2 separate regions of the Mus musculus genome follow, and region 1 is reported to be linked to region 2. Evidence: microRNA targets listed by miRTarBase, many of them from high-throughput screens and not tested one by one. Region 2 holds a microRNA gene; the other region holds the end of a gene's coding sequence.

Region 1 (4,405 bases), not on the chromosome of region 2:
TCCTGCAGACAGCTGAGCCTGCTGGACTTTCCCTAAGGGCTGATTCAGACTCTGGAAGCAAAAGACAGGACCCAGACACCCAGCTCAGCCTGCTCCTCCAACAGGGCCAGGCCCAGGCCTCAGGACACACAGAGAAAGTATGGGCCTCCCAACAGAAGGCGGTACTATATTGGTCAACTCAACCTGTGGGATGGGGGGTGTTGGGGTGTCAGGGCCTGGAGAAGGGGACACAGGACAGAGGAAGAAGCCAGGCTGTCATAGGTAGAGGCTCAGGCTGAGATGGGCCTGGGCTTAGACCCTGTCTCCACGGTTCTCATTAATTTTCTTCCCTGGTCTTGCCTTCTCCCCCTAGACATCCCAGGCATCCAGACCCAGGCCGCCCATCCCCGCCAAGCCTCAGCTTCCTCCTGAAGTCTATACAAGTCCTGCTTCACGACTGCATCAGGCCCCACCCATTAACCCCATCTACCAGGAGCCTGATGAACCCATAGCCTTCTATGCCATGGGGCGGGGCAGCCCTGGGGACGCTCCTAGTAATATCTATGCTGAGGTGGAAGGGCCATCGGGAACGGCGCCCATTGGACACCCCATCCTCCGAAAGTGCTGGTCCAGGCCTATCTCAAGAGGCCAGGTAAGGGAGGTACAGGGAAAGATAAGCTCAAGGAGTCGAGCAGAAAGAGGGAGCCCCTCCTGAATATCGGGCAAGGTGAAGGTCAGCAGGCTGAAGCGAGATGGAGTGTTCCACGCTGCCGAAAACCTTTGCCCAGCTCCAGGCCTAAGGCTCTTCCTGGACATTCACGTGGACTCAGCTTTGTCAAGCCCTACCTGCCCCTACTTCAGGTTTCCTTCAACCACTCTCCATCCCAGGCTGCCTCTCATTGGTCAGGCCTTCCTCACACACATGTGACACTGACCCAGCTCCCTGGAGAGCGTCACTGCCAGTGGGCTCAGAGGAGGAGGCTGCCACACTGTGTGCTCACCCTCACAGTTTCCCCACAGAGTTTCAGTCATGTCTGAATGTGGTATTACTATTAAAGGAGTCAGACTCTTTCCCTTGTACCTGCGTCAGGTCCTACTTCAGGCTTCCTCTCTGCTGCCACCAAAGGTCCCTGCTTGGCCCTCACCAGCCCAGCTCACCTGTACCCTACCAGCCTTCTTAACCCTGGGTCCATCCAGGCTCTGCCAGGGTTCCAAAGCCACTCCAACATCAATTGAACCAACCTCACTCGCACCCTGTGTGGGCGCGCGCATGAGCGCGCGCGCGCACACACACACACACACATGCACCACGCACAGTGTCCTGTGTTCCACACCCTGATTGATTAACCCCCAGCACCCAGCTATCCAGCCAGAAATGTGGGGTCCCTAAACATCTCCATCCCCTTTGCTTCAGTCTCTGTCTGTCAATAATGTCAGTTGCCTCTACCTCCCAAGTTCTGGAATTACCACTGTGTGCTCCTACAGTATGTGGGATCAAACTTGGGGCTTGGTACGTGCTAGACAAGCACTCTATGTCTGAGCCACACCATGATTTCACTGAGTGGCTTAACTGCCTTCCTAGTACCAGGCTTGTCAGCTCTGACCTGTTCTTCCCCGAGGAAGCCAAAATGGGCTCTGTGAGTCAGCTGCCTGGTCCTCCAGCTCTTCCATACTGAGGCGAGGTCCCACTTCGTCAGCCCCACTTCAAGCACCCACACCATATTTCTCCAAACTCACCAAAGGCTACCAAGTCAGTCCTGCCCACAGCAATCCCTACAAGACCGCCCTCCTGCTGCCTGGCAACCCTTAACCCCACTCAAGACCACAAGCCCTTCCCCTTGCAAAGCCTTCCCTGGCCTGACCTCCCAACACACCCTTGCCAGGCCCCTGCTCAGCCCAGACTCCCATTGCTCTTTTTTTCTTCTATCTCCCCTTCCTGCAGAGCCTGATTCACTAGAGGCAGCCCTGGGGGATGCTCAGCTATCTCTAAAGTACTGGCCCAGTGCTTGGCATGAAGCAACTGCCTCAGGGAGGGAGGGGGAAGGGAGAAGAGGAGAGGCAGAGGGATGGACGGGAACCTAAATCCCCTCTGGAGGCCAAAGGGTTAAGACCATATACCTTCTCCTAGAGACTGTAGCTCTGCCAAAGAGGCAGAGGGTATGACCCAGAGCTGTCCTTCTGTCTGCAGAGGACAGATGGTCCAGAGCTGCATTCTGAGGACTGTGTGGCAGAGTAAGACCCTGTCCTTCATCATGAGCCCCCCTGGCCCTAGAGGCTTGCCCTTTCTAGACAGAGAGCACTCATGGCTCCCCATCAGGCCTTATTAGGGGTAAGTCTGATCTGGGAGGGTAGCTTGGGGCATTTTGTGTCCTGAGACCTTCACAGACCCCTGGGTCCTCTCTTAGGGAAGGCAGGTGGGATAGACTACAGGTGAGCAGAGCTTCATCTGCTACACGGATGGCGAGGAGGTGTCACCCCGCGTGCCAGCTCCAATCCATTGGTCTCGGCTGCCTGGCATGCAGCATTGGAAGGATATTAAGGTCAGATCTAAGCTCAGCAGAAAGGAGCAGGTGACGGATGAGTGGCGTCTGCTGTGGGTGCGGGAAGGGTGAGCAGCGTTTCTTTCTCTCCTATCAATTAAGTCCAGTCCTCTCATTATGCAAATCAAGAAACAAGCCAGAGAAGGAGAAAGCCTGGGCCAAGGTCAAGGATTGAAACCCCTCTCAGCATTCCCCATCCGTCCTCTGAATCCTCACTTCTCCACAAGGGACAGAGAGATTTCCTCAGCTAAGAAGCTGGTTGCTCTCCAGAGTTCTGCACTGGGACCTCCCTGCACTCCACCTTTCCCTGTCCCCTTAACAAGTCTGCCTTCCTTGCTCCAAAGCAGCCTGGAAGTCAGAGGACCAAATGTGGGATCTGTGCTTCCTCATAGCAACACACACACCACACACACACACACACACACACACACACACACACACACACACACACACATGCATGCATACACACACACACATACACACACGAATACACACACATGCTTGCATACACACACACATGCACATACACACATACATGCATACACACACATAAACACATACACACACACATGCATACTTGCATACACACACACACACAGACACTCACACTGCTCCCTTCTGAAAGTCACCAGGAACCAAGGCAAGGAACTGTATGTACTAGGGAAGCCATCCTGCCTCCTGTGCCCTGGTTTTTCCTCCTGAAGAAACTGGACTTTAGGAAGCCTTGGCACTCTGAGCCTTCGCATCTGGGCCCCGATCCAATGGCTGCTGTTGTCTGAGAAATGTTTTGGTGAGAACAGATGTTAGGATTTGTTTGTTGGTCCTTGTCTGGCTAATAAATCATTAGCAACAATCTCCCTCCTCGGGAATCTCTGTCCTTCCAGCTCCTCCCCAGCCCTTTTCTCTCTCCCACTGTCGCTCATAGGGGTCTAGAGGTTCAAAGACACTTAGGCAAAGTTATTGATCTTTTGGCTGAAAGTTAAAAACCATGAGGACAAGGACACGGACTCCCTTTGCCAAGTGCTTCTCCCTTAGCTGGGGTAGGCTGGGTGGGCAGCCCGGGCACAGGAGTGGGTGCCTATAGAGATGGGCAACTCAGGACTTGGGAGAAGGGTGCCTTAGCAATCTGTGAGCCCTCAGAGGAGGCAGCTTAAGTCCTTACCTCACTCAGGAGCCCATCCCCCTCCCTGCCCCATTCTATGGGCCTTTCTCCCTTCTCTGCCCAGACTCACTTCAGGACTGGCTTCCTGCCCTAGAGCTAAACTCCTCTAGAGTCCTAGCCCGGGAGCAGTCTGTGCTAGGTCCCACTTTCATCTCACTGGAGGTTTTCTGAGGCTGGCCATGCATGGCCCTACTGGCTCCAGAGTCACCCGAGTCTCTGGAGGTAGCCTTTGCCACTGTTTCTCTCTCTGTGTAGCTCCCCACACAGCTGTTACCCCGATTTACTACAGCTCATTTAAGGTAACATGTGCTTTTTGTGTCCTGTCTCAAAAACAAAAAAACAAAACAAACGAAAATAATGGACTGGCCCTCTGAACCTGTAAGTCAGCCCCAATAAAATGTTGTCTTTGTAAGAGTTGCCTTGGTCATGGTATCTGTTCACTGCAGTAAAACCCTGAGACACTCTCCTGTTGCCTTGACTTCCCTGCCGTGACATGCTTAAAGTGTGAGCTAGGAAAAAAACAAAAAATAAAAACCCTCTCTCCCAGCTGATGCTTTTGTCAGAATATTTTATCCCATCAACAGGAAGAGAAACTAAGATAGCACTTCTTCTTCCCGGCCCAGGCACTCTGGCCCAGCCTGCTCTCACATCTGCCAACAGTCAGACTGTTCGCACTGTAGATCCAGCTGTCCTCCAGACCCAACCTTTCGCCAGTGACTGATCC
Region 2 (4,405 bases):
ATGTGACCTACTGCTTTGGAGGTTATGTATGACTGGGCCAGGGTGAGGTCTCACAAACCACAGGAAACCCTTGGTAGAGTCGGGAAGATCAGGAGTGCAAGTTCGTGGTAAAGGCATGATGAGTTAGAGGTCATCCTGGCATTCATGTGATTGCCCCTATGTATGTGTGTATGTGTTGATGTGTGTGTACATGTACATATGTGAATATGATATACATATACATACACGCACACATAAGACACATATGAGCACACAGACACATGGGAATGGCACTCATCAATCCATTTGAGTGATAAGTGACTTAGAGTGAAAATGCTTGCTAGAGTTAAGAGTATCAGGAGTTCAAATTCATACTTATCCTCATGAGAGATCAGCTTGTGATTCCTCCATGTATGTGCATGTGTGTATAGTTGTGTGTGCATGTTCATGTCTATATTTGAATATACATAACATACACACACACGTATAAACGCAAGCACACATACACAGACACAGGAATGGCATTCGCCAATCCCTTTGAATGATAAGTGATGTAGAGTTTTAGAGATTATGCAATAGGGGGCATTGAATGGCCTCACTCACCAGGTGTAAAAGATTGACAAAGTCAGGAGGATAAGGATTGCAAATTCATGCTTAACTTCATTTGGAGACATCTTGGTATTAATGTCATGCAACCCATTTATGTGCATGTGTGCTTACTTGTATGTGCATTGTATGTGTTGACATGATATACATAACATAAACACACGTGTATCTGCAAGCACACACACACAGGAAAAATTGCATTCATTTATACGTTTGAATGATATGTGACTTAAAGTTTTCAAGATTATGCAGTAGTGGGACAGTGAATGGTTTTACTCACCAGGTGTGAAAGATTGTGGATCAGGAGTTCAAATGCATGCTTTACTACATGATGACTTAGAGATATGCCTGGGATTCATGTGATGCCCCCTATGTATCCCTATCTGTATCTGTTTCTATTGTGTGTGGATTTGAGTATATGGATGTACCTATCTACACAAATATATACATGTACACAGACACAAACAGAAACACACACACAAACATCAGTGCAACTCATCGATCCATTTGAATGACGTGTGACTTAGAGTTTTAAGATTCCTCAGTACTGAATGGGGAGAGGTCTCACTCAGCAGGTGAAATCCCTTGACAGAGTCAGTTGGATCAGGAGTTCAAATTCGTGCTGAATTTCATGATGAGTTCATGACCAGCATGGGATTCATCTTATGCCCACCAAAAATGTGCATGTGTGTATAGTTGTGTGCATATTCACTTCTCTATATGAATATGCATATACACACATGCACACACATTCATAGGAATGGCCAGAGCTATGTCTCAGTTAGGAGGTGAGCACTCTTGCCAGTGTCAGGAGGATGAGGAGTTCAAAATCATGTTTAACTTCATGATGAGTTAGAGTTCAGCATGCGATTCATGTGATGTCCACCAAGAATGTGCATGTGTGTATAGTTGTGTACATATTCACTTTTGTATATGAATATGCATATACTCACATGCAAACATACTCCCACGAATGGCCCGAGCTATGACTCAGTTAGGAGGTGAATACTCTTGCCAGCATCATGAGGATGAGCAGTTCAAATTCATGTTTAACTTTTTGATGAGTTAGAGATCAGCCCGGAATTCATGAGATTTTCCCTGTGTTTGTGTTTATGTGTATAGGGAAGTATGCCTGTACATGCACGTATATGAACATGCATATATATATATATATATATATATATATACATACATATATATATATATACACACACACACAACTAGGGACACATACATGTGCACACAAACACACATGGCAGTCATCCATTTGATTTATACGTGCTTAGAGTTTCATTGAGTTTATATTCATGGTATAGGGAAAAATCTCACTTATCAAATGAAAACTGTTTGCCAGAGTTAGGAGTCTCAGGAGGTCAAATTCATGCTTAACTTCATGATGAGTTAGAGATCACCCTGGATTTGTGGGATCGACCCTAGTTATGTACATTTGCATATAATTGTGTGTGCACGTACATGTGTATATATGATCATCCCTGTAAATACACACACATACAAATGTATTCACACATACAGGCATGCACACTCACACACATAAGAATGACACTCATTGATCCATTTGAATGATATATGTCTTAGAATTTTGCTGATTATAAAGTAGAGGGACAGTGAATATTCTCTCTCACCAGGTGTAAACAATTGGCAGTGTCAGGAAGATCAGGAGTTCAATTTTATGCTTAACTTCATGAGCAGTTAGAGATCATCCTGGAATAATGTGATGGCCCCTATGTATGTGCCTGTGTGCGTAAGTGCCTGCATGTATATGCGTGTATATTTTATGCATATACATACACACACCTACACACACATGCACACAGACATGCGGGAATGGCACTCACGGATCCATTTGAATGATATGTGACCTACTGCTTTGGAGGTTATGTATGACTGGGCCAGGGTGAGGTCTCACAAACCACGGGAAACCCTTGGTAGAGTCGGGAAGATCAGGAGTGCAAGTTCATGGTAAAGGCATGATGTGTTAGAGGTCATCCTGGCATTCATGTGATTGCCCCTATGTATGTGTGTATGTGTTGATGTGTGTGTACATGTACATATGTGAATATGATATACATATACATACACGCACACATAAGACACATATGAGCACACAGACACATGGGAATGGCACTCATCAATCCATTTGAGTGATAAGTGACTTAGAGTGAAAATGCTTGCTAGAGTTAAGGGTATCAGGAGTTCAAATTCATACTTATCCTCATGAGAGATCAGCCTGTGATTCCTCCATGTATGTGCATGTGTGTATAGTTGTGTGTGCATGTTCATGTCTATATTTGAATATACATAACATACACACACACGTATAAACGCAAGCACACATACACAGACACAGGAATGGCATTCGCCAATCCCTTTGAATGATAAGTGATGTAGAGTTTTAGCGATTATGCAATAGGGGACATTGAATGGTCTCACCCACCAGGTGTAAAAGATTGACAAAGTCAGGAGGATAAGGATTGCAAATTCATGCTTAATTCAGTTAGAGATCATCCTGGTATTCATGTGAGGCCACCCATGTATGTGCATGTGTGTTTACTTGTATATGCATTGCCTCTGTTGACATGATATACAAAATATAAACACACGTGTATATGCAAGTACAGACACAGAGAAAAAAATTGCATTCATTTATACGTTTGAATGATATGTGACTTAAAGTTTTAGATTATGCAGTTTGGGACAGTGAATGGTTTTACTCACCAGGTGTGAAAGATTGTGGATCAGGAGTTCAAATTCATGCTTTACTTCATGATGACTTTAAGATATGCCTGGGATTCATGTGATGCCCCTATGTATCCCTATCTGTATCTGTTTCTATTGTGTGTGGATTTGAGTATATGGATGTACCTATCTACACAAATATATACATGTACACAGACACAAACAGAAACACACACACAAACATCAGTGCAACTCATCGATCCATTTGAATGACGTGTGACTTAGAGTTTTAAGATTCCTCAGTACTGAATGGGGAGAGGTCTCACTCAGCAGGTGAAATCCCTTGACAGAGTCAGGTGGATCAGGAGTTCAAATTTGTGCTGAATTTCATGATGAGTTCATGACCAGCATGGGATTCATCTTATGCCCATCAAAAATTTGCATGTGTGTATAGTTGTGTGCATATTCACTTCTCTATATGAATATGCATATACACACATGCACACACATTCATAGGAATGGCCAGAGCTATGTCTCAGTTAGGAGGTGAGTACTCTTGCCAGTGTCAGGAGGATGAGGAATTCAAATTTATGTTTAACTTCATGATGAGTTAGAGTTCAGTATGCGATTCATGTGATGCCCACCAAGAATGTGCATGTGTGTATAGTTGTGTATATATTCACTTCTGTATATGAATATGCATATACTCACATGCAAACATATTCCCACGAATGGCCCGAGCTATGACTCAGTTAGGAGGTGAATACTCTTGCCAGCATCATGAGGATGAGTAGTTCAAATTCATGTTTAACTTTATGATGAGTTAGAGATCAGCCCGGAATTCATGTGATTTTCCCTGTGTTTGTGTTTATGTGTATAGGGAAGTATGCCTGTACATGCGCGTATATGAACATGCATATATATATATGTATATATATGTATATATGTATACACACACACACACACAACTAGGGACACATACATGTGCACACAAACACACATGGCAGTCATCCATTTGATTTATGCGTGCTTTGAGTTTCATTGAGTGTATATTCATGGTATAGGGAAAAATCTCACTTATCAAATGAAAACCACTTGCCAGAGTTAGGAGTCTCAGGAGTTC

What was found. Region 2 holds the annotated microRNA mmu-miR-466e-5p (GAUGUGUGUGUACAUGUACAUA, at 2,636-2,657, shown strand). A microRNA usually pairs through its seed, bases 2 to 8, with sites in the 3' UTR of a target mRNA and lowers its output. Matches are read on the target gene's strand: a 7mer-m8 pairs with bases 2 to 8, a 7mer-A1 pairs with bases 2 to 7 and ends in A, and an 8mer does both.
Region 1: miRTarBase lists Sh2d2a as a target of mmu-miR-466e-5p. Seed matches in the 3' UTR shown: 7mer-m8 at 897-903, 7mer-m8 at 1,277-1,283, 7mer-m8 at 2,968-2,974, 8mer at 2,990-2,997, 7mer-m8 at 3,012-3,018, 7mer-m8 at 3,032-3,038 and 4 more.

The regions. Positions count from the first base shown.
Region 1 is chr3:87,851,715-87,856,119 of GRCm38, forward strand. Sh2d2a (SH2 domain containing 2A) reads left to right here. Exons shown (of 7, transcript NM_021309.3): 6 at 9-161; 7 at 353-4,008. The coding sequence ends at 694. Among named protein-coding and RNA genes, the nearest start is that of Sh2d2a, 7.2 kb to the left of the region's middle.
Region 2 is chr2:10,476,464-10,480,868 of GRCm38, forward strand. Mir466e (microRNA 466e) reads left to right here and starts at 2,625; the gene lies at 2,625-2,708. All of the region lies in intron 10 of Sfmbt2 (Scm-like with four mbt domains 2), which reads left to right. Mir466b-8 (microRNA 466b-8) reads left to right here and starts at 165; the gene lies at 165-250. Mir669a-1 (microRNA 669a-1) reads left to right here and starts at 390; the gene lies at 390-486. It also overlaps Mir669g, Mir669j, Mir467a-2 and Mir669a-4.